5 linked regions of the Mus musculus genome follow. The protein of the gene in region 3 binds, or shares a complex with, the protein of the main gene of each other region. Links are inferred from orthologs where the notes say so. Each region holds a gene or a part of one and is shown on either strand. Other genes may lie near its edges. The genes, in order: Nsmce2, Nsmce4a, Nsmce1, Eid3 and Smc5.

Region 1 (4,624 bases), on a different chromosome or scaffold from region 3:
TTCACCCCCACCTTGACCTTACCCCATTCAAGAACTACCTGACATTTCTTTAACTGAATTATGATTTGATAACTTAAATTCCCTGCAACTGTAGCTCACATGAGGAATATGGAGAAAATATTATGGTTGTTTACATAAAAGAACAACCCTTTATATACATACTTCAGTCATTTTTTATCTTTAAGACAGAGTCTTGTCATATAGCCCTGGATAGCCTGGAACTTACTATGTAGTCCAAGCTGGCCTCACGGGGCAGCGATCCTCCTGCCTCTACCTCCTGTGTGCTGGGATTATAGGTACATGTCATCATGCCTGCAGGGTTCTCACTATAGCTTTTACTTCATCAAAACAGGCAACTACAGATGAGGGACTTTGTCTGTGTGTGTTTGTGTATGTGTCTCCCTCTCACTTATATTTTCCAAATTAAAAAAAAAACCAAATATTATTACTACAAATTACAACAACTCCTTAACTCCAGAACATATTTCAAAGCGGATGGATCCATTAGCCCCTTTAATAAGTCACAGTGTACCTTGGATCTGGACACATAACCACTGCACAAGCCTGTTCCATCAGGACCGTCACAGCAGAGTGAAATCTAAAGAACAAAACCTATCAGACATGCTACAGAAGTAACTGGCAGTACTCAAAACACTAAGCTAACAATTCCATTTTGCAAGCGCCACAAAGTATCTTATATAGCACTTTAAAAGAGTATTGATATTTTGTTTGCTCTGCTATTTAAGATCAGGACCTTTTAAAATAACATTTCAGGGGAAATTAAAGGGAAACTTCTGTTATTCCCAGTGTTGCAACGCATGGGGAACTCTTACATAAGGAAGTGTTCTTTTCAATATAAATTTACTTGTCATTAGATTTAACTATCCAAATGATGTATATGGCTGGACTTGGGGAAGCACATCTCTCTTCTCTCTCCTCTCTCTTTCTCTTTCCCCATATTAAAAAAGTAATAATCACAATTTAAACATTAATTTGGTTGCATTATATGCTTCTGATTAGAAATTTCCCCAAGACCATTTATTCTAAAATTCCCTATAATTTCTTTTATGGAACAATAACTTTGTGAATAAGTAACAAAGGAGGAAGAAACATACTTTTTATATATTTATTCCTCGGTTTTATTATAAAATATCTTTAAAATAAGAGGTGAGGCATTAGGTCTGTCATAATGTGTAAGACTGAATTCAAGGGCACTAAAGTTACAAACATGTCTGCTATGGCAGACATAAAACCTGAAAGCCCCACTTTCTCTCTTCTGGGGATTCTGCTCTACTGGGGAACTGCATAAAATTATTTGAGAAAGATTGTGATAGTGACAATGCTCAATCAAGAACCAAATCGAGGGAAACTGCTTACTGTTTAGATCTACAGAACAGCAATAGTCTCATCAGGATTGCAAAACATTCTAAATTGTGAAACTTAAGTTATTTGTAAAATAGACAAAAGTGAAGCAGCTTCCTCAGTCATTTTTGAGATCTCAGCACCAATTTAAAGAAATACTTTACTTAAAAGAAGGCCAACTTCAGCCGGGCATGGTGGCGCACGCCTTTGATCCCAGCACTTGGGAGGCAGAGGCAGGCGGATTAGAGGCCAGCCTTGTCTGCACAGTGAGTTCCAGGACAGCAAGGGCTACACAGAGAAAACCCTGTCTCAAAAAACCTAAAAAAAAAAAAAAAAAAAAAAAAAAACCCACAAAAAAACAAAACCAAAAAAACCAAAAGAAAGCCAACTTCAAAACATGAATCTCTACACTAAGTACATAGAAAGACACAAAATGAATTTACATCACATAACATCCTGCTCTGTCAGTGTACACATAAGTGTGAAAGAAGGCTAACGTTTGAAAGGGAAAAAAGTCATTCACTTTCCTCTTCAATTCTTTAAGGAACAATCGTGTCTCAATCCTAAAACAAATAAAACAAACAAACAAACAAATCCCTATACAACTAAACAGCTGCCTAGACAAGAAAAAAAAAGATCTAACTCACTAACATTGCTCTGAGGACCACATGGAGAAGGTTTACTACTTCTGGTACTGTGTGTGTGTGTGTGTGTGTGTGTGTGTGTGTGTGTGTGTGTGTGTGTGTCTGTCTGTCTATCTGTCTGTCTGTCCGTCCGTCCGTGTCTGTGTGTGTACACAGTGGATTATTTTCCTCACTGTGGAGAAGATATATTATTTCTGGTACACTCTGTAAGGTAGGGGTGTGCGTATGTAAAATGAATTATTTTCCTCACTCTCATTTTCAAGTCAAAACCCTAACTGTTAACAAGCATTTAAGCCAATTTTAAAATCACATGGAACTTATAGTACCCAGGGTACAGTATCAGAGGGACTTTTAAGCATTTGGGAGGAATCCCCGAGGAAACCTCACCAACGCTGCCCCACAGCAGCAAATGGGAACAAATGTACTTCAGAGCTTGGCACAGCAGTTTACGTTTTGAAAGAATTACCATTGTTATCTTAATAAAATGGTTTTTAGTTTTATTTTGTTTTCCCAAGTCCCCTCCCCAGCAGTGAGACACTTTGTGGAAACTGTTGGCTTCAGAAATAGACAGGCAATTGGAATCAGTATTAGACAAACACGAAACTGCAACAAGACAAGCCATTCAGGCAGAGGATGGAGCAAGCAGAGAAGCGGACACTGCTCACAGGTCAGGCCCCTCATCTCAAGAAGCCAGAGCGAAGCGGCTGACTTACATTGCTTCTTCAGCTCCCTCAGCTGTTGCTTGAACTGCACGAACTTTTCATTCTCTTTAAAGTCGGCATCAGAGTTCTTATCCTGTAAAGCCAAAAATTTCTTCTCTACCAGTAATTTTAAATCTGGTACTTTTTCTGGACGTTCTTCTTTTACCTAAGAAAGACCATAAATTCATGTTCGTTAGAGATAATGAGTATCAACAAGGGCTATACAACTGTCTTAATCTCATTTAATTCAAAAGACAGTATGAGAGAGAACAGATCCTCTCACGAGACTACTCAGAAAAAGTGACAGGCTCGCCCACCCTGCCTTCCTGCTCTACACAGCCTGTCACTAAGTCCATGAACTTGTTAAACCCTGCAGAAGAGGCGACTGGCCCAGACCTGGCCTTCACCCCTCTTCTTTCACCTGGATCTGCTCAGCCCATCTCTACATGCAATAGTGTTTATTCCATCTTCAGTTCAGCATCCTCTTGCAGCCCTTGATCTGTGGGTGACAGTGATCCCTACATTAACAAGAGAAACTAAGGTTTTGACTTTCTACAGTTCCCTGGTCTAACAAGGAGTTGAGTGTCCTGCTTGTTCTGTTCAAGGCCAAACACTCAATGTATGTTCTTCTCCCTAAGTATTATAAAGTTCAGCCACACGGAAACATTAAAGGTACTGGATTGTGAACACTATGTATGTCATCACTGCTGCAGTTACCACTCGACTGTGTTTGCCCCTCCACATCTCTTCCCATCTATCGTGCTCTTGAGTCTGTCTTAATTAACTTCCCTAGACCCTCAGGTGCTTTAGAACACACGTGCAGCAGCAGCAGCAGCAGCAGCACTAACAACAGCACTCTATTAGAAGTCTGGCGCTTCCTTCCATGCACTTGTTTTTTGAGCGTAGCCCATGCCTTTGTGGTTTCCACTCTGTTTTGATGGAATGGCTGACAGCACCTTGGTTTAAACAGTTTGCCCCCCCATCAATAGGGCAGTTGGAGACCTCTGAGGTTGGGTCTACTCTTCCAAGAATTGGCTAGGCAAAGCTGAGTAATTATAAATTTTACTTGATGTCTTAAATATTTTCACTACCTGCACTCCCACTCATTCCTCACCAATTTCCGACTGCAAAAGCTTTTTAAGGCCAAATAGTTCCATCCAAACAGCAAGATTTCTAGTGAGGAGAAAACAATAAGCAATTTAGCCTTTATTACGCAGACTTCTAGGAATAATTGTAGGACAAAGGCAGGGAGGACAGCTGGCAAAGCAACTGCCTGGCTCGTGAAGAGTAAACCTGCAAACTCTCTGATGACAAACTAATGGAGCTGCTGCCAGAACAAGCTAACTGTTCACAATTAAGTGTTAGAGCATGGATGAGAAAGTACCCTAGCAGTGGGGAGTCAAGCGATACCACAAAGTCATGCACACAACAAACCTCAGAAAGAAGCAAGCTGTTACTGGGAAGGGAAAACCCAGAAGGATGGCAGAGAAAGCCAAGCAGGTGACAGGAATGAATGAATGAATGAATGAGTGTGTGTGTGTGTGTATTCTCTTTGGAAGCTGGGAGTAGTAGAGCTTTCCAGAGTGGCCCAGCATTAGAAGGATTTTGTGGTTGATCTTAGGGTAAGCTCAGGGGTTGGTAGCTTTTTGTTTGTTTGTTTGTTTGCTTTTTTTTTCTGTAGGCTGGGGCCTGGCCATTCTCCTACCCAGGAGAGGAGGAGCTGTTACAACCATTTGGGAAGTCTGGGAGGAGTTGTCCAGTGGAGCTCCTAAGGGGCCGAGCCTGGCCACTCACACCTGGAGAGGTCAGGCCTGGCCATCAGAGTAGCCCAGGGGCGGAGCCTGATGGTAGAGGGCTGCAGAGGAAGGGCTTAACAGTGGGAAAGTTAGTGTGAATAGCCAACATTTCATCTTCTCA
Region 2 (5,207 bases), about 5.1 Mb from region 3:
ATTTTTGCCAGCGTTCTGGGCATCCCTTATCAAAGTTAATCATGTAAATAAATATAAACTCATCACCACAGAGTGGAGAAAAGCCCCCTGGACTTCAACATCGGACTCTGATCGGACATCGGACACTGCTATAAGCTTGCGTTTTATTTGTTAAAGAGATTTGCTATGTGTGCGCATGTATGCCTGGTGATGCTACATGCATCACGTATGTGCAGGAGTCCAAAGAGGGTGTCGAATCTTCTAGAACTGTTGTTCTAGACAGCTGGGAGCCACTATGTGGATACGGAGGACTGATGCCAGGTCCTCTGTAAGAGCAGTAAGTGCTCTTAACTGCTGAACCATTTCTTCTCAGTAGTCTACATTAATACAGAGAATAGTATTTCATCAATCACATTCACCCCTTCTTCCCCACACACTCTTCTGTGATGTCAATGCAAATTAGTGTTTTAAATTAACCCAGCAACATAAAATATGAAGAGATGCACTTATATACGTGTAAGGGTGTCTATGCATAGCTTCCTAGTTCTTTTTTCTTTGGAGGCTCTAGAAGCAATGATATCTCAGTAGCAGTGAGCTCACTAGGCTTTGGATCTTGGTCTCAAAATCCTCTCAGCCTTTGTGAGGTAGTTAGATTCACGAGGATCAGGAACTCAATATTAGCTTCAGCTACAGGGTCAGTTTGAGGCCAGCCTGGGTTACATGAAATCCTATGTGAGAGGGAGGGATGGAAGAAGGAGAAGTGTGTGTGTCAGAGGGTAGATTACCTCAGGATTCCTAAGGTGGCATAAAAACTGGTACATGGGCGGGCGGTGGTGGCACATGCCTTTAATCCCAGCACTTGGGAGGCAGAGGCAGGCAGATTTCTGAGTTTGAGGACAGCCTGGTCTACAAAGTGAGTTCCAGGACAGCCAGGGCTACACAGAGAAACCTTGTCTCAAAAAACAAACAAACAAAAAACAACAACCAAACTTGTACACGGCAGTGTGGATCCATAATCCTAGTGCGTTGGAAGTGAAGACAGGAAAATGCCTAGATCTTGCTGGCTATTTAAGTCCTGTCAAAAAGACGAGTTCCAGGTTCAGCTAGAGATGCCTTATGGTAAAGAACGTGGAGAGTGGGCTGGAGAGATGGTTTAGAGGTTAAGAGCACTAGTTCTCATAGGAGTAGGGTTCCATCGCCGTTATCCACAGGGCAGCTCACAAACCCTTCTTAACTCCGGTTCCAGAGGAGGTGTGCACGTCCTATTTTGACATCTGAGGGCACTGCATACATTTCGTCCACAGTGTGCACGCAAATAAAGGATGTATATACACACACAACAAATCTAAAAAATGTGGAACTGAAAGAGGAAGACCCCTGAAGCCAACCTGCCGTTTGTACCCGCAGATGCACACTTGTGCATGCGTATCTATGTACAGTGCACACACACACAATTACATGGAATGATATGTATACATGTATCTTTGAAACCACATTGCATATAATTATCTTCCTCAGACCTGTTATAGGGTATCTGTTGTTAGAGAATCAGCTGTGAACCTGCCGTGTGGTGGTGCAGATATTTAGAAGGAGGCTTAACAGTTTACTATGGTACAGTCAAGGAACCCTGTTTTGTTTGTTGTATCCTCCCCAAGGCCAGAGGAGCCAAAGAGACAATGGGAAGATGCATGACTAAGTGGGGTGGGCATTAGGATCAGAGATCTAAAGTCCTAAGACTCTTGCTTGCAGGGTGGAGTAACTAAGAACCAATGCGAGGCACAGACACAGCCAACGCCGCCGCGACCTCCGGGCCACAGGTGTCGCTGTGTGCTCACGCGCCAGCCGGGGAGCTGCGTTGCTCCTGGAGCCGGCGCTCGAGCCCAGCCGGGGGTTTCAGTTTCTGGCGCGAACTTCCGCCGCTCCGAAGTTGCAAGGCGAATTGGCGCGATGTCTGGCGACAGCAGCGGCCGCCGGTCTGAGGGCCGGGGCCGGGGCCGCGACCCGCACCGGGATCGCACCCGCTCCCGGTCCCGCTCGCGGTCCCCGCTGGCCCGCCGCGGCGCCGCGCCGGAGCGCAGGGAGGCAGCGGAGCGTCCGAGCTTGGAGGACTCCGATCTGTCTGATTCTGGGGACGAGCTGATGGACCCGGCCTGCTTGGAGGCCGAGTACGACCAGGGCCTGTGCCGCCAGATCCGCCATCAGTACCGCGCTCTCATCAACTCTGTCCAACGTAAGGTGGCGCTTTGTGGCTGCGCGGGCCGGTGGCGTTCCATGGCTGGGGAGGGCGGTGGAGGTGCAGGCGCTGGCCGGTCTGCGCAGGCTCGCGGCAGCGCGCTTTCGCTTGTTTACGAAGTGCAGCCTACGCGACCTTGGCGGCGGCCGCGCAGGTGCTGTGTGGCCGGCTGGAAAAGCGGGAGACCAGACCTGGTGGTGACTTGAGCTCAGCTAGCCAGTAGGGAAGACAAGCACACACCACCAGATTTTTGTTCAATCTAGCTTGCTCCTCGTGGGCGCCTGAGCTATGGAGTCCCTTGGGATTGCTAAAATGCACATTTCCCTGCCCAGCTCGGATACACTGAATCAGAAATGCTGTACAGGCCCAAGCGTTTGTTGTGTGGCTCTCCAGATGAGCCTGTTGCTTGAGAAGTTGACAATCCTTTCTTAATCGAGCCCTTGTATTGGGAAGCCGAAGAGTCATCCCTTTGCACATTTGGGGAGCAAGTGTTTCCTGTCAAGAGTTCAAGTTTTGAGGGCTGGGGAGATGGGCAGATGCTTCTCTTGCGACCTTAATTAGATTCCCCAGAACCCTCTAAAGTGTCTCCTAAAAGTAGTTCTGTAAACTTGTATCCTCAGCCGAGGGGAAGCAGAGACCCTGGGTCTCTTTGGCCAGCTCACCTAGCCTTCTTGGCTAGTTCTATAGATAGATAGATAGATAGATAGTTCTATAGATAGATAGATAGATAGATAGATAGATAGATAGATAGATACCCTGTCTCAAAAGGCAAAGGTGATGGTGCGCTGAGGGAAGGACATCAAAGGTTGACCCCAGGCCTTCTGCACACACAGACGTTCAATTTGCTTGGAACAGTAGTAACATTGTCTCTTTCTGTAAAAGATAAAGCCTTTTTCTGTTAAAGAGATAAAGCCACTCTAATCATTACCCAGGCTGTAGGAGTGGAAGGAACTGTAAGTTGCTACTTATTAGTGAAGGATGTGCCCAGTTCCCTAAGCTTGTATTCTTTTAAATAGAAAACCGGGAAGACATACTGAATGCTGGTGACAAACTAACAGAGGTCCTGGAAGAAGCTAACACTCTGTTTAATGAAGGTAATTCATGATTTTAAATCTGTTATTGCAGCTTATACTCACTGGGTTACTTTTATAGAAGCCAATTATTGTTGTTCCATAATTCCCATTTACTAGTGCACAGGCCCAGAGCCTTTTCCGTTTTAGCAACAATACTGTGCACTTACCACTTGGTACAGTGTATGCTTTAGGGTTCTTCGAAGATTTCTAGAAGTCAGGAAGGAGTTGTACAGTCTGTTTTAAGAAGCCTCTTCCATGAGCTGGGCAGTGGTGGTACACACCCTTTAATCTCAGCACTGGGGGGTGGGGGAGGGGCAGAGGCAGGTCTCTGAGTTCAAGGCCAGCCTGGTCTGCAACTGTCTGTTCCTGTGCATCTACAGCTACACACAGAAACCCTGTCTCAAAAACAAACAAACAAACAAACTAGCTGGGCGTGGTGGCACACGCCTTTAATCCCAGCACTCCGGAGGCAGAGGCAGGCAGATTTCTGAGTTCAAGGCCAGCCTGGTCTACAAAGTGAGTTCCAGGACAGCCAGGGCTACACAGAGAAACCCTGTCTCGAAAATAACAACAACAAAAAAGACTAACAAAAAAGAAGCCGTGATTCTTTTGCTGGCTTGAATTTGAAAGTTTCACTTGTATGTTCTGTTAAGCAGATAGATGAACTAGAGAAGAGTGCAGCCAGCTTCAGAGATCCTCTTTTCTTTTCCTTCCTTGGTCTCCCCTCCTTTAGCTATTGATCCACCTATAACCTAATGGAGGTGCCTCATCTACAGGCACACCTCTTGTGTGTGGTTGGGGACAGTGGGGAAGAACTTTCCGTGTTGAAATCTGGCTCCTGGGAGTTTTCTATTTGTTTGAAGTTGTGTGTCCATGTGGGTTTGTGCACATGAATACAGTTATCTGTGGTGGCCAGAAGAGGATATGGGATTCTTCTCAGAGCTGGAGTACACGGAGGGTGTGAGTTGTCTGACAAGGGTGTTGGGAACCCAACCCAGAGGCCTCTTGGAAGAGCAGTACTCTGTATTAACTGCTGGTCCCTCTTCCCCAGCCGCATGGGGGCTTAAAACCACAATATTAGTTTGAATTAAAAGCAGCAGCAGTTGGTTGTAGTGGTGACCGCTTTGGCTGGTATCCAATGAGCAAGGTGGGTGTACTTCCTGATGGGAGACCAGGACAGCTACACAGACCATGTTTCTCTTTGGGCCTCTCTCACTGCTTTAGGAACAGAAAGGGGCAACTGCAGTGATAAGGAGAGAAACCAGGGATGCCCTGTTCCCTGCTAGCCACAGTTCCTCATGATCTTTCGGACAGTTTGCTTCTAGTTATCTAGGATGCCTGGTTGTTTGCGTTGTCACAGTGTTTAGTGAGTGTTGTCCTTCAGTCTTTCCTGCTCTGGCCATGGCCTCCTTACAGTTCACCTTTTTGGTCTGGAACATACACTAAATCACTTCCAGAACTTGAAGGATTGTGGCTCCTCTTCCACTTTTCCACTGTCAAGCTTTTTCTTCCATCATAGCCTGGACCCACGGTCTCATTTGTGATTGGCTCATTTACACCCCTATTATCAACCGTCCATCTTACTGACTTCTTCCATGTTACCTCCCTCAGTAGAAGGCAAAATTATTCACTCAGCTGGGCTCTCAAGAGTTATTCCATGCCGGGGTGCATACCTTTAATCCCAGCACTCGGGAGGCAGAGGCAGGCGGATTTCTGAGTTCGAGGCCAGCCTAGTCTACAGAGTGAGTTCCAGGACAGCCAGGACTACACAGAGAAACCCTGTCTCAAAAAAACAACAACAAAAAAACCCCAGAGTTATCCTGCTTGGCATTCATGGGTATGGGTGTCACACCTGTTTTAATTCTATAGGGAACTTGCTCTCGTCCAGACAGATCTACACTTTTCTTGTAGTAGCCTATGTA
Region 3 (4,624 bases):
ACCATGATAAGAGAATGGGTAGAGGCATGGAGACAGGTGGCAGGAAGGCTGCTATCTCCAGAGCTCCTTGGTCACCCTCAGGGATGGCCTGAGCTGTACCACTGTGACACAGGATAAGCAGGCAGCTAGCCATCCCAAAGCAGGGACTGCAGAGCCACCTTGCCCAGTGTAGTCCTGAGGGCAGGGCTTGAGAGACTGCCCCTGAGCTTCACCTTGAAGGCTGTGAGGATGCAGAGGATCCTGGGACCAGGGACTCAAACACTCCCAACCCAGAGCCCCCAACTCCAAGCCCTGGCTATTCTAGACCTGTTCTGCTTTCCTGCCGGAGTTCAACAGAGGTTAAAAAGTGGGGTGACCTGGTGACATCATCGGAACCACCAGCCTAAGCCTCCAGAAGGAATGCTAGCATGTCCCTCCTCATTTGAGCCAGTATGAGTCCTGACATATTGGGGTGAGTAGAAGCAGGCAGGGAACCACAGTGCAGCAAGTAGTGATCAAGGAAGTTCAACGGGCACTGTGGTTGTGAGCCCAGGGACCAAAGAGGAGGAGCTGAGGAAGGAAGGAAGGCTGAGGTGAGCAGGTGAGAACCCTCACCATGAGTCCTAACTCAATGCAACCATCTGAAATCAAACCAAGGTCTCGGCGGCAGGGTACGGCATTTGACTGTCCAGGGGACTGAGGCCAGGAGCAGAGCAGCTGCGGCAGCTGGGAATGAGAGGTGGGATCCAGTCTGGCCAGCAGTCGTGAGGCCAAATGGACAGGGTTTGAGGACAGCCTGATCTAGTCCAGCCCAGCCTGCAGGGGTCTACTGCACTTGGGGCCAGAGTAAGGGCCTATTGTAGCTGTGGACACTAAGGTTAATATCATGGGCCAAAACTGCAACGAAGCAATGGCACCCAGAGCCAGCCAAAGAGACATCTGCCCAGGGCTGCCGTTCAGGCCAGTCCACTCAACTCAGCAAGGGGAACCCAACCTCACACAAGCCCTGGATTACAGAGCACAGCGCCATCAGGAAACATTTACTAAAAACGTGTTAAGAACAAATAACAAAGGAGGCACGGCAGTCCTAAATGGACTGTGAGGGTCAGCCCAGAACGATGCAGGACACAGCTAGTGCTGCCGGGTCCGTAAGGACTTTCTGCTCGACTTGGAGATGCCAGCTTCCCTCTCCTTCTCAGGGTTGTAGACTTCTGTGTATAGAACAGCACAGAGACACACAATGAGCAGCAGGACCAATGGCCTGATCACACAGTACAGTACAGCAGCTACATCTACAGCTGTTTCCCATGAGGACATGTCACTGTTAACCCTCCTCCCACAGCACCGTGAGCCAGGCAGCATGGCTCACTGAGGGAGCTGGGGAGTGGCTTTCCCATCCCTGTCCCTGGGTGGCTATAAGGACAGCCTTGTTTGGCTCTCACAAACCTTGGGGTCTATTGGATTTTAGAGCCCTGTAGGATAAGGCAGTGTTCACCTGTGCTTCAGCAGGTCACTAACGATGATCTTCATGCTCAGAGACCTCCTCATGCCTCGGGTGCTCTTGGGGCCCAGACTTAGAACAGAGGTCCCACAGACAGCCCATCACAAGGTCACCCCATCCCATAAGCACTCTGGAGGCCACGTACCTGGTATATCGTGGGGCCAGTAGTCATTACAGTGGGGGCAGTGTGGTTCAGGGATGGACTGGAAGTATTTGGCCACACAAGGCAAATGCATCCTAATTCCACACGTCTCACAACTTTGACCCTGAAACAAGAAAGCCTGATGACCATGGACAAGCACATCTCTCAACTTCACAAACCTTCAGAAAGCTGCAAGAAAATGGCTAGCAGGCTGGAGGGTTTAACCTTCTAGGCCCCAACTTAATGCTGGCAATAAACCCAAGCCCCTGACCAGAGAGTCCCTGGTGGGAGATAGAGGCATACAGTTTTGTAGTAGGCCAAGTAGCAACATGTATCGCACACTTTACGATCAAGAGAAGCATGTTATAAGCCAGAGAATCTGAACATAGAAATACCATGGGCCCCATGGATACACATATAGAAGATCAGTATGGAGCCTGGTTGTCCAAGATAATCAAAAAGAAGCAAACTCAGGCATCCAGCCAGACTGAGTCGTAGGGGACCCTGCAAAGCAGAACAGCAGAATGGTGGGGACAGAAAAACCTGCCACAGAGCTACCAAGGCTTAAGGTATCAGCCAGCACCTAACAGTACCCTGGGATACGGCTGAGTGGCCAGGGAGAGAGCTAGGGAGTGCAGCAGCAGGAGTATAGCATGGCCTGTCCTAAAGCTGCTATATCCTGAAGTATATAGTAACAGTAGAGGTCCAGTGGGCTGAGCATCAGGACCCCACTCCCACTGCTGCCTGCAGTACCTGGATGAGGAGGCCGTGGCAGATGTTGCACATCTTCACAGAATCTGGGTAGCTCTCTCGGATGAACTGCTCCATCTCCAAGATAGCCCGGCCATGCAAGGTGAACTCTCCCTCCTTCTGCAGAGATACAACACACTCACGCTAGCTCAGTGCTGACTCTCCGGGTCCCACAGCCCAGAGTGCAGGAGGACTAGGTCTAGATACTCTAGTCACTGCACACTGTCACCAATCCCAGCCAACCAATGTCAGCAAAGTCCCCTTAGCCAAATCTCCAGAAAGGGAAACTAAATGTCAGACAATGGAGGCGAAGGTCTTCTTACCCTCCAGATCTCAGAACCTCCCCTGCCTTCACAGATATGATGACCCCATCTTCACAGCCACCCTACAAGCTAGTCACAGTTGGTGTCGTCAGCAAGAGAAGACAGAGGCCAGGGAGGAGAGCAATATCCCAATGGGTAACCCAAGATAACCCCAGCCGGGTGCCCACTTCCCAGCCCTTTACCACCAGTGTTGCCCCATCACTGCCAGCCCTGCCTGCCACTTTACAAATGAAGCTGGAAGAGCCAGCGTGGAGGCTCAGTGATCCTGGGCATGTGACGTGGACAGAGGGAAGCTGACAGGACGGCCACACACAAAGGTGGCCCTGTAATAGAAGGAGGCTGAGGAGACAGTCCAACAAGATAGTCCCCCTGATACTGTTGTCTTCCACACTGGAGTTCCCTCCCCACCCACCAGTGGGGAAGGATGCTTGTGGAAGACAGGCTTCCTTTCCAAGGCAGAAGTGGCAGGGTGGAAACAGAGCATTTATGAGGCGGCCTGGTGACTAAAGAAGTGAGTGAAATTAGTTCCAGGAGCAAGAGTGGGCAGTGGGCAAGGAGTTCAGAAATAGAAAGGCTGTTGTACACAGAGCACAAGAATCCTGAGCAGTGGTTATTGCTAGGCAGACAGGGACGTGGGGCCTCCTCAGATGTGGCAGGAGCATGGCTAACTTGCAAGCTAGTCTCAGTTCTGTGGGAACCTGTCAAAGATCCCGGGTCCATACTAGTGGCCAGCTTCCTGAACCTCCTTCTCCTGCTCTTGAGGCTGCATGCCACTAGAGGGAGCCAACCTGAACTACGAGGAAAGGTGGGCCAAGCTCTGATGCCTGACTTACCACCCTCCAGTCCAGAGCCTCCTAGTGGACCATCCAGCTGCATAATACCTAAGCCCTTGAGCAATGAAACCTTGTGGGAAGCCTTAGCAAAGGGAGGCTGCATTTCTGAGGCCAAAGATGCCTCTAAAACCGAGTCCCTCGGATCAAGGAACCAGATGCCTAGGAAGGCTTGGCAGGGACCAGCCAGCAACCCGGTCAACAATCCTTCAGTGGGGCCCCTACAGAACTCACAGCAGCCCTGCCCAGAAAGTGGAGGAGCCCAGAGGTGCTCTCCCAACCGCGACCCCTACTGCCTGAGCCTGTGCCTTCCTTCACCAGATACATGGTGAACGAGAACTCAAGGGATACCCAGTGACAGGACTGAGAAGATTGAGGGGCTGATGGGTGGCAAGGTGGAGGGCCTCCATGCTCCCCTCCACAACAGCTCACAGATTTTTTTCAGGACTCCCATTAAACCCTTGCAGCCAAAAAAAAAAAAAAAAAAAGCTGAGCAGTGGTGGCACACACCTTTAATCCCAGCATTCTTTGGGAGGCAGAGGCAGGCAGAATTCTTAGTTCGAGGCCAGCCCGGTCTACAGAGTAAGTTCCAGAACAGCCAGGGCTACACAGAGAAACCCTGCCTTGAAAAAAAAACAAAACAAAACAAACAAACAACAAAAAAGAAAACGCTTGCAGCAGCTCCAAGCTGTCTACAGAAGGGACAGCCAGCAACTTCATTCTGAAAGGCATCTGATAAGCCTTCCATTGATTCCAGCCTCTTCCACTTGTGGCTGCAGCACTTAAGACAGACCATGTGAAAGTCAGGGAACACAGGCTCTCCTCTCAGAGGTCATGGAAAGCTTACAATAGAGAAGGGCCCACAGACAGGCCGGGCTCAACTGCTAGCACACAGACTGTGCACTCCTGAGTGAACGGGGAGGCCCCAGGGTACCTCAATCAACCACTTGCTCTGCACAAACTTCTGCAGCACCTGCTCGGCCTCCTTCTTCCTCATCTTTTTCCCTTTGAGTTGATCAACTAGGTTCAAAATGTTTGTAGAAGAAGCAAAGCCAGTTTCTGAGTCAACGATCAGTTCCAGCTGCAAGAGAAAGAGGTG
Region 4 (4,214 bases), on a different chromosome or scaffold from region 3:
AGGGACACTGCTAGTAAAAATCATGATGATACTGAGTGGTGAAAGATTAGCCAAAGATAAGGCTTGCAACTGGGAGTGACAAATATTGTCTACCTCTGAACACTGGCGAGGTCAGGGACATTCCCGCCTGCTTCATAGTCAAGGGTAAATTTTCTGTAAATCTGCCCAGCCTCTTGGGTCATGACTCGTCTCAGTGGCACAGATTTGATCTTGTTTTCTTCCCTAGGATGCCTTCTCCCCCAGTGTGGTGGGAGGCAGAGGCAGGTGCAGGCAGGTCACTGTGAGTTCCAGGCCAGCCAGGGTTCCATGAGGAGACCCTGTCTCAAAACCAAGCCAGGATGCCTTCCCTATTGTCTAACTTGGACCTGCCTTTCAAGACTTAGTGGCTTCAGTCTTACAGTACACACACACACTTTTATTAAATTCATTTATCAAAAACAAAGTTCAGAATACAGAGATCCACTTTTTGAAAGGAAGCCCGTCACCTGGACTTGAGAGTCTGAACACTACTGACTTTTCTTGTCTTGTTCTCACTCTTGCCCCGACCTGGTGAAAAGCCCCCTTGCCCTTAGTTTTGCAGCGTCAGAAAAAGCAATTCAGTATCCCAGTGAGTCCTGGTTTTTGTGTTTAGCAAGTTGGCTAATTAATACTTTCTAAGAAACTCGGGAGCTTACTGAGAGTGTCATGTGAATTTCAAAAAAACTTTCCCATAAGCATGAGAGTGAACTTTTAAGATTACAACCTTATTAGATTATCAAGTAAAATACACTGCACAGTAGACAATTTCATTTGTTCTTGAAAATAGTTTACTAGAGTTTGTGCTTCTGTTTAGATTCCATTTTTCGATGTTAGTTCAAGATATACTATGAATAAAACTCTTTAATATGAGTTTTTGATCATAGCCTCTGAAATTTCAAAAGTGGAGACAATATTTTTCCAGTCCTGTAAACTCAAAGATATAACGCCTTGTTTCCTGCAGTACGAATAGGAATCACTTTCATCATCCACCTGGCTCACATTAGTTGGCTCTAGAATTGGCAGCCTGTCTTGGTCAAGCCTTATTCTTGCAAAGCCATCCCTAATAATAAAAGACACATAGAAGATATTCTCCACAGTGCGAGAGAATGAGTTTGGATCAATCACAAACTCAAAGTATGACACTGGAGTATCGGGGTACTTTTGAAAGTAGGTTTGCAGCAATCCCAAGATTCTCTCAACTTCTTTTTCTGTCGTCTCCTGATTAGCATGCACATCCAGCCTCCTCAACTTTGTAGGCATATCTCCACTTCCTTCCATTTTGCAAGCTCTTTTGTGACATCCAAGCCGGGGCTTTCGTGCAGAACGTTCTGCCTTAAATGACCCAAAAATGAAGTGGAACGTTTCGGCTTGCAGCATCCAGGAGGTTGCTTCCTCGTGCAACATGCCCCAAAAGGAAAGAACTATGCTATCATCGCAGTCGCTAAATTCCTTACACTCCTCTTCTACCCAATTGAAGCCCACAAACAACAGCAGCAAATCGCAGAAGGCAATGGGATTAAAAAAGTTCATATCGGTGTTTAGCTGCTTCGCCTTCTCTTTACCCAGATCAGAGGCCAAAACCAGGAACTGGGCATCAAGGGCTGCCTCTCTGGTTCTGCTCACTCCGTCAAACAGCACGTTGGCTTCCTCCAGGGCCTCACTCAGCGTGTCGCTGGCCGTGTTCACAATGTCCTCGCGGTTCTGCTGCACGGTGTAGATGAGCTGCCGGTACTGCCTGCGGATTTTGCGGCACTTCTCTCGATCCACCACCAGCTCCAGGAGGTCTGGGTGCATGCAGGGGGGCTCGGGGTTCGGGTCATCGGAGCTACTGTCTGAGCCTTCCTCCTCCTCATCTTCCCCTTCCTCCTTTTCTTCCTTCTTCACTGCCTCTTCCTCCTCCTGTTTCACCAGGTGCTGCCATGCCAGACTCCGGACCAGCTCCCCTCTTTTCTCTTTGCCTCCAGTAAGGGAACATTTTTCTTTAGACATGGTGGTGGTGCGCAGGTAACAGCTCTCCCAGGGCTACTACCATACTACCTACCAACCGTAGCGACGCGAGATGGCAAAGGTAAGCCGTTGGAACAGAGCCTCCTGCCCATGCGCAAGCAACCCCGCCCCCCAGCTCACAGAGACCACACCTCCAGCCCAGGCTCCCGTTGTTCTTTTTCTGCTTAGAGGGAAGTACATGCTAATTCACAGCATGAAGGATGCTTCTTGCCCCCCACCCCCACCATCCCTTACACTCTTAGGAGTGTCTCCACTCAAGGGTGGAAGAACAGTGGGCAGGCAGGATTTTGCAAGGGAAGCCTGCCAAAGGCTAAATGCTTTTATACACTACAGAGGAGGTTAACCTGAATCCTATAAGATGAGCAAACTAAGAAGATTTTTAGTATCATCTCGCACCATCTGTGTTATCACCTACTGGGTGAATAATATGCTTTGGGAACCACACACCAGCTCACCAGTGACCCATGGCGCAATTAAGTGGCTGGAGTTATCAGTGCACAGCGATTTAACAATGTGAGGAGTGTTTTGTTTCTAAGTTCAACAAGCGCATCATACCCAACTCTCACCACAGAAAGCTTGGGGGGGGGGGGGGGGCACGGGACTCTGTCAGTGACAGAGTTCAGCACCCCATGGGGTAGCTCACAGCCACTGCCTGTAACTCCAGTTCCAACACTTCCTTCTAGCCTCCACTGGCAATCATGTGTGCATGCACATACTTTTAAAAATAAACCTTCAAAAAGACGAACCACTCAACGTGAGTGAAAGAATCAACTCCGCAAACTTGTCCTCTGAATTCCATACATGGACCATGGTACTCATGTCTACACATATGCTGTCTTTTAAACTTGACATACAGACCAGGGTACTCATGCCTAAACATACATCATACATATATCACAATACTAATTTTTAATTTTTTAAAATGGGCTGAAGGGGCTGGAGACAAGGTTTAGATGTTAAGAGCACTTACAGGCTCACAACTTTAACTCCACCTCAAGGAATCCAATCTAAAAATGGGCTGGAAGAAAAGCCTGTGTCCCAGTCTTTATCTACTTATATTAACTTAGACGGGTGCTAAATCTGCAAGCCACCACTGTCCCTCATTTATAAGATGGGAATTATAACATATAGAATAAAAATTATATAATCAGTGGTTTTAACTACCGAGTACATACTTACTATGTTCTTTTATATACAAAGCAATGATTTTTTTCATTGTTTTAGGTTTTAGGAAAAGAAAAATATTTTTAGGTTGAGGATGTACATACAGGCCTCTGTACTCAACACGCACATATCCACATTTAAATGTACACATCTTTAAATGAAAAAAAAAAATGCTTCTGTAATTTCCATATACTTGAGTTTCCTCATTTGCAAAATCGGTCTCCTGCGTATTCCACTCTATCTTAAAAACTATTACTGATCTTTTTTCTTTTTTTTTTTTTTTTTTTGGTTTTTCGAGATAGGGTTTCTTGTGTAGTCCTGGCTGTCCTGGAACTCACTCTGTAGACCAGGCTGGCCTCCAAAGCAGAAATTCACCTGCCTCTGCCTCCCAAGTGCTGGGATTAAAGGTGTGCACCACCACTGCCCACTGTCCGACTCCTTTTTTTTTCTTTTGGCATATACGGTGGCTTATATGGGTATGGCCCCCATATGTATGCTTGGCCCATAGGGAGTGGCACTATTAGGAGGTTTGGTGTTGTGGAAGGACGTGTCACTGTGGGGGCAGGCTTTGAAGTTTCCTATGCTCAAGCTATGCCCAATGTGGCACACAGTCTCCTTCTGCTGCCTGCAGATCAAGATGTAGAACTCTGGGCTCCTTCAGCACCACGTCTGCCTGGACACTGCCATTCTTCCCACCATGATGATAATGGACTGAACCTCTGAAGCTGCAAGCCAGTTCCAATGAAATGTTTTCCTTTCTAATACTTTGCCATGGTCATGTTGTCCCTTCACAGCAAGGAAACCCTAAGACAGCATACGTTTTCTAGTAGTGTTGTGGATTGAACCTTGAACTTAGGGCCATGGCAAGCCAGGCAATCCCTCTATACCACTCAGCTTACCCCTAAGTCCTAACAAAAGTATTTTTAAATGTGTATATCATCATACAGATCTGTGTCAGAGATAACAGGGTAAGGCCTAGCCTCACAGTTGCATGATTAACTGAAGTGGCCTCTTTCTTTCTGACA
Region 5 (4,624 bases), on a different chromosome or scaffold from region 3:
TGTTGGCTTCCTTAACTTGAAATGTCCTTTTTGCTAGGAATGTCTTCCCTCACTATTTTGTGTCGGTTCAAATCCCAGTAAAAACTTGTTTTCATGAGAATTGTTTTTATTTCAAATTACTCAAGATTTAGGATGCCAGCTTATACCCTATTTATCCATTATGTTAAAGGGTTTTTTTTTTGTTTTTTTTTTTACCCATCAAAATGTTTATTGAAGGATGGTACATAGCTTCAGAGGGTAGACCTGGAAGGGGAGCTGGGATGGGAGGGAAACATGGATTGACTAAAGGAAAATGATGGAGACGTGTTTAGAAAGTGACCATGCCCCTGTGGCAACTGTAAGGTGTATATACACACTATCAACCCTGAAGATAATGAAGTCTTACTGAAGAGGCAATAGGTTAGACTTCAGTTGGAAGCAGGTAAAGAGTCAGTCAACATGTCTCAGGCAGGCTCCGTGTTCCTACTAAAACTGAGTACCTGTGTCAAACAGCCAATAAAAACAAAGATGTTAAAGGGTCTTATCTCTTCATTTAGACTAGGAATTTCTCTAGTAAGACAAACCTTAACAGTGTTGGTCGTGAAGCTTCCGAGACCGGGGGTAGGGTGGGAATCACAACAACCTATTATTGATAGTAGAAAAATCAGATGTAATGATATTATGGTGCTTAGAATGTTTTGATTTGTGAAACTCTTGTGTAAATGAAGAAAAATGATTAAAGAACAAAGGTCAAAATAAAAACTCTTTGAACTCTATGAAAAGTATTTTCATCTAGTATTGTCAACATGGAAAAAGGAAGTCTGAGATTATGTTCCTTTAACCAGTGCAGTGAAGGGGAGGAAAGCGTAAACCATTGGGCACTGGGCTCTTAGTGTCTCTTAGGAAAAACTACCAAACTACATGTCCTTGGGAGAGATGTCAGCAAAGCGAAATCGCAGCCTTTTCACTGTTTAGTGAGCTTTCTCATCACTCTGAAAGTATGCCTTCCCAAACATTTCCCTAGGGTGCATTAGCCACACTTAGAGGTGTTGGATAGCTTGTGTTGAGTCGGGGATATTGCTCTACTAGAATTCGCCTGGGTTTTGGTCTTAATTCTTTAGTCCTTTGAAGCATATATTATACTTTTTATTAGATATTTATGAATTCCTGCTTTACATTACAGGTAATACAAGAAACTCGATTAAAACAAATTTATACAGCAGAAGAAAAGTATGTGTTAAAAACTTCTGTGTATTCAAATAAAGTTATTTCTAGTAATACATCCCTGAAAGTAGCCCAGTTCCTCACTGTTACTGTGGATCTAGAGCAAAGAAGACACTTGGAAGAGCAGCTAAAGGTTGGTTCACTTGATTTAGTTACTAAAATGTCAACTGGAGTTTTAAGACTTTAATTTAAAAGGTTGTTAACAATTTTTTAATACTCCTTAGGAAATGAATAGACAACTGGAAGCAGTGGACTCAGGGTTGGCTGCCTTGCGTGATACGAACAGGCACCTTGAGCTCAAAGACAACGAGCTAAGGCTGAAGAAGAAGGAGCTTCTTGAAAGAAAAACCAGGAAAAGGCAGCTGGAGCAGAAAATCAGCTCCAAGCTGGCAAGGTACTGCGTGGCTTGAGATGGGAGTTCAAAACACATGGCCTGAGTGTCTGCTAGCTCAGTCGTGGAATGGCAGCAGCAGGTTATAGTAATTTCTAAAGTTTTAATATCAGCTTTCAAATTGCAGTCGTGGTGCATAGGGCAAAAGTCAGACTAAAGTGTTCTCTCCAGTCCTCTCACCCACTCAGTGCCTAAGTGTAAGTGTTTAGAATGCAGTTAGAAATTATATTCATGTAGAAAAATGACAGTTGTAGTTTCTTTCCTAAGGTCTGTGACCTCTAGACATGTGTAATTATCTAGGTTTGTAATACCAGGAATGAAATACCTGCTATTGAGCAGGCCTTAAGTCCAGTTAGACAACTTTTGGTTGCCTCTAATATAAAAGTGCTACTATTCCACTGTTGAGGATTCTTTTTTGAGCTGGTAAACATGATGGCATAGACTGGGGACATTTCACAAGGCCCTATCCGTAAATAAAGAGCTCCAAGCAGTCGGTGGCTGTTGAGAGAGGGTGAATCATTTTTCCCCGAGTTATCATTCTTCCTGATAGGTTATCTAATCCCAAGTGGTAAGCCTTTGTTGTTGTTGTTTGTTTTTTCAAGACAGGGTCTCTCTGTATAGCCCAGGCTGTCCTGGAACTCACTTTGTAGACCAGGCTGGCCTCGAACTCAGAAATCTGTCGCCTCTGCCTCCCGAGTGCTGGGATTAAACTTATGCGCCACCACTCCTGGCTCCAAGTGGTAAGCCTTAATACATACGTGTACATATGAGAAACACTAAACAGACTCACAGAGAGACAAAGGAATATAGAGATATCATGAATTTGAGGGGTGTAGGATAGAGTGGTTGGAGGCAGGAAAGGGAGGTATATGGAAATGATGTGAATACAGTATTCCTACTAAGTTTTCAAAATATAAGATTAAAAAGCTGGGAAAATCAGAAAAGATTTTTTTTTAAAAAAAGACAACAAACTATATTACAGAAATTTTCTTTGTTTTTAATCTTTTTTAAAGCAAATAGCGGGCTGGTGAGATGGCTCAATGGGTAAGAGCACCCGACTGCTCTTCCGAAGGTCAGGAGTTCAAATCCCAGCAACCACATGGTGGCTCACAACCATCCGTAATGAGATCTGACTCCCTCTTCTGGGGTGTCTGAGGACAGCTACAGTGTACTTACATATAATAAATAAATAAATAAATAAATAAATAAATAAATAAATAAATCTTTTTAAAAAAAAATAAATAAAAATAAAGCAAATAGCTTCTTTCCTGCATTTTCTTTTTCAATTTTTAACCTTGTTTATCAACTTCAACCCTTCACATTAATCCTATCTTCAATTATTGACAAACCATTTAAACTTTACTGTGTGACTTCTGTGATTCCCTTGTTGAAGCTTGTTTAAGACTTTCTTGTTAATGATTTTTGGGAGAAAATGAGTTTTTGTTTATTACCAGCCCATTACTTTTATTTCTGCCTTTATTCACTCTGTGGTGGTGCCCTGCAGCGATGGTTGGACCCTCCGTTCAGTTCATCCAGATGCTGTTTGAAAAGTTAGGGGTGGGTGGATGGGTTAGCGGTTCTTGCCAGGCTGCACCTTGCGCTTCCGAAGGCTTTCATAAGTATTACGCATCTTGCTTTCCTGTGCAGCAGCATCCGCTTCCTTGGACAGCATCCGCTGTACTTGTGGTTCTTAGTTAGGACCTACAACTTCTGCCCTCTCTGTCTCCTCGGAATCACCATGGTTTAGTGGGAAGACAGACCATGGATTAAACTTATCCTACAACTTAATATCTATAATTGTAGGTGATGACTTTGTTTCTTCATCTTTAAAATCATCTCAGTGATAATTGTCAGGGTGCAGGGTGTAGCTCATGTGGCAGGCTGGCCTCACACTTGTGTAGCTGACTTACCTCAAACTTGGGATTTTTCTGCCTCTGCCTCCCAAGTGCTGGGTTGTGTACCTCCACTCCAGATCAGTGCTGCTGTGGGGATGGAATCCAAGTCTTTGTGCTTATTAAGCAAGCACTCCACCAACTGAGCTCCATTCCTAACCCTTATGTTGATTTTTCTTCTGGTTTTTTTACGAATGGGTCAGCTCTACCTGCTTAAGGACTGTGTTTTATGAACAATGTCAGTATCAACCTGTATTAATAAATAAATAATTTCTGGGCCAGGTATTATTCTATGTTGTGTTTTTTCTTCCATCTGCAGTGTACAGATGAGGAAGCTAAAGCTCCAGCTTCGCTTCTTGATGACTGACAGTGGGGAATTCAAACTTCCCTTCTGACTCCATATTCTGCATCAGCACCATTCCTGACACTAGACTTTGCTGGTCATATAGCTCCACAGTATATTTTGATCCTGACTGATTGTATTAAAAGGTCCTTAATCTAGAAACTAGTATTTATACTTCTGATTACCATTATTATTATATAACCCAAAAACTTCGGGGACCTAAGGCTTTGGACTCGGTCCTTTGTTTAGCTCTGATCTCTCCATCATTATATGTGTCTGTCATACAGTATAAGGCTGATGGAACAGGATACTTGCAATCTGGAAGAGGAAGAACGAAAAGCAAGTACCAAAATAAAAGAAATAAATGTTCAGAAAGCAAAACTTGTTACTGAATTAACAGGCCTTGTAAAGGTAAGATGTTTTTCTTAATTTTCAATATTTTTTAAAAACACTTGCTAAATACTAAAATTTAGTAATATTTGGAGGACTTTATGAGAAATCATCACTTTAAAGTGTTTTTCTAGTTTGGTGATATAAGCAAGAGATTTTTATAGTCATTTTCGGCTTGTTTAGGTTTTAATGCTTGCAGAGAATCTTTTTTTTTTAATTTATTTATTATATGTAAGTACACTGTAGCTGTCTTCAGACACTCCAGAGATGCCAGATCTTGTTACTGATGGTTGTGAGCCACCATGTGGTTGCTGAGATTTGAACTCTGGACTCTTTGGAAGAGGAGTCGGGTGCTCTTACCCACTGAGCCATCTCACCAGCCCACTTGCAGAGAATCTTAAAAGT

Evidence for each region.
Region 1: Nsmce1 (region 3) and Nsmce2 share a complex: the UniProt entries of both Homo sapiens proteins name them as parts of the SMC5-SMC6 complex. The link is inferred for Mus musculus from reciprocal best matches to the Homo sapiens genes NSMCE1 and NSMCE2.
Region 2: Nsmce1 (region 3) and Nsmce4a share a complex: the UniProt entries of both Homo sapiens proteins name them as parts of the SMC5-SMC6 complex. The link is inferred for Mus musculus from reciprocal best matches to the Homo sapiens genes NSMCE1 and NSMCE4A.
Region 4: Nsmce1 (region 3) and Eid3 share a complex: the UniProt entries of both Homo sapiens proteins name them as parts of the SMC5-SMC6 complex. The link is inferred for Mus musculus from reciprocal best matches to the Homo sapiens genes NSMCE1 and EID3.
Region 5: Nsmce1 (region 3) and Smc5 share a complex: the UniProt entries of both Homo sapiens proteins name them as parts of the SMC5-SMC6 complex. The link is inferred for Mus musculus from reciprocal best matches to the Homo sapiens genes NSMCE1 and SMC5.

What each region holds. Positions count from the first base shown.
Region 1 is NC_000081.6:59,453,562-59,458,185, reverse strand, and holds part of Nsmce2 (E3 SUMO-protein ligase NSE2), read right to left. Parts: intron 2,874-4,624; coding exon 2,720-2,873; intron 1-2,719. UniProt on the Homo sapiens protein: E3 SUMO-protein ligase component of the SMC5-SMC6 complex, a complex involved in DNA double-strand break repair by homologous recombination. Is not be required for the stability of the complex.
Region 2 is NC_000073.6:130,543,994-130,549,200, reverse strand, and holds the start of Nsmce4a (non-structural maintenance of chromosomes element 4 homolog A), read left to right. Parts: upstream 1-1,819; 5' UTR 1,820-1,926; coding exon 1,927-2,209; intron 2,210-3,228; coding exon 3,229-3,306; intron 3,307-5,207. UniProt on the Homo sapiens protein: Component of the SMC5-SMC6 complex, a complex involved in DNA double-strand breaks by homologous recombination. The complex may promote sister chromatid homologous recombination by recruiting the SMC1-SMC3 cohesin complex to double-strand breaks.
Region 3 is NC_000073.6:125,466,654-125,471,277, forward strand, and holds the end of Nsmce1 (non-structural maintenance of chromosomes element 1 homolog), read right to left. Parts: intron 4,607-4,624; coding exon 4,460-4,606; intron 2,493-4,459; coding exon 2,376-2,492; intron 1,747-2,375; coding exon 1,626-1,746; intron 1,191-1,625; coding exon 1,111-1,190; 3' UTR 991-1,110; downstream 1-990. UniProt on the Homo sapiens protein: RING-type zinc finger-containing E3 ubiquitin ligase that assembles with melanoma antigen protein (MAGE) to catalyze the direct transfer of ubiquitin from E2 ubiquitin-conjugating enzyme to a specific substrate.
Region 4 is NC_000076.6:82,864,500-82,868,713, reverse strand, and holds Eid3 (EP300-interacting inhibitor of differentiation 3), read right to left. Parts: upstream 2,089-4,214; 5' UTR 2,008-2,088; coding exon 880-2,007; 3' UTR 784-879; downstream 1-783. UniProt on the Homo sapiens protein: Tissue-specific component of the SMC5-SMC6 complex, a complex involved in repair of DNA double-strand breaks by homologous recombination.
Region 5 is NC_000085.6:23,228,531-23,233,154, reverse strand, and holds part of Smc5 (structural maintenance of chromosomes protein 5), read left to right. Parts: intron 1-1,162; coding exon 1,163-1,336; intron 1,337-1,427; coding exon 1,428-1,597; intron 1,598-4,116; coding exon 4,117-4,240; intron 4,241-4,624. UniProt on the Homo sapiens protein: Core component of the SMC5-SMC6 complex, a complex involved in repair of DNA double-strand breaks by homologous recombination.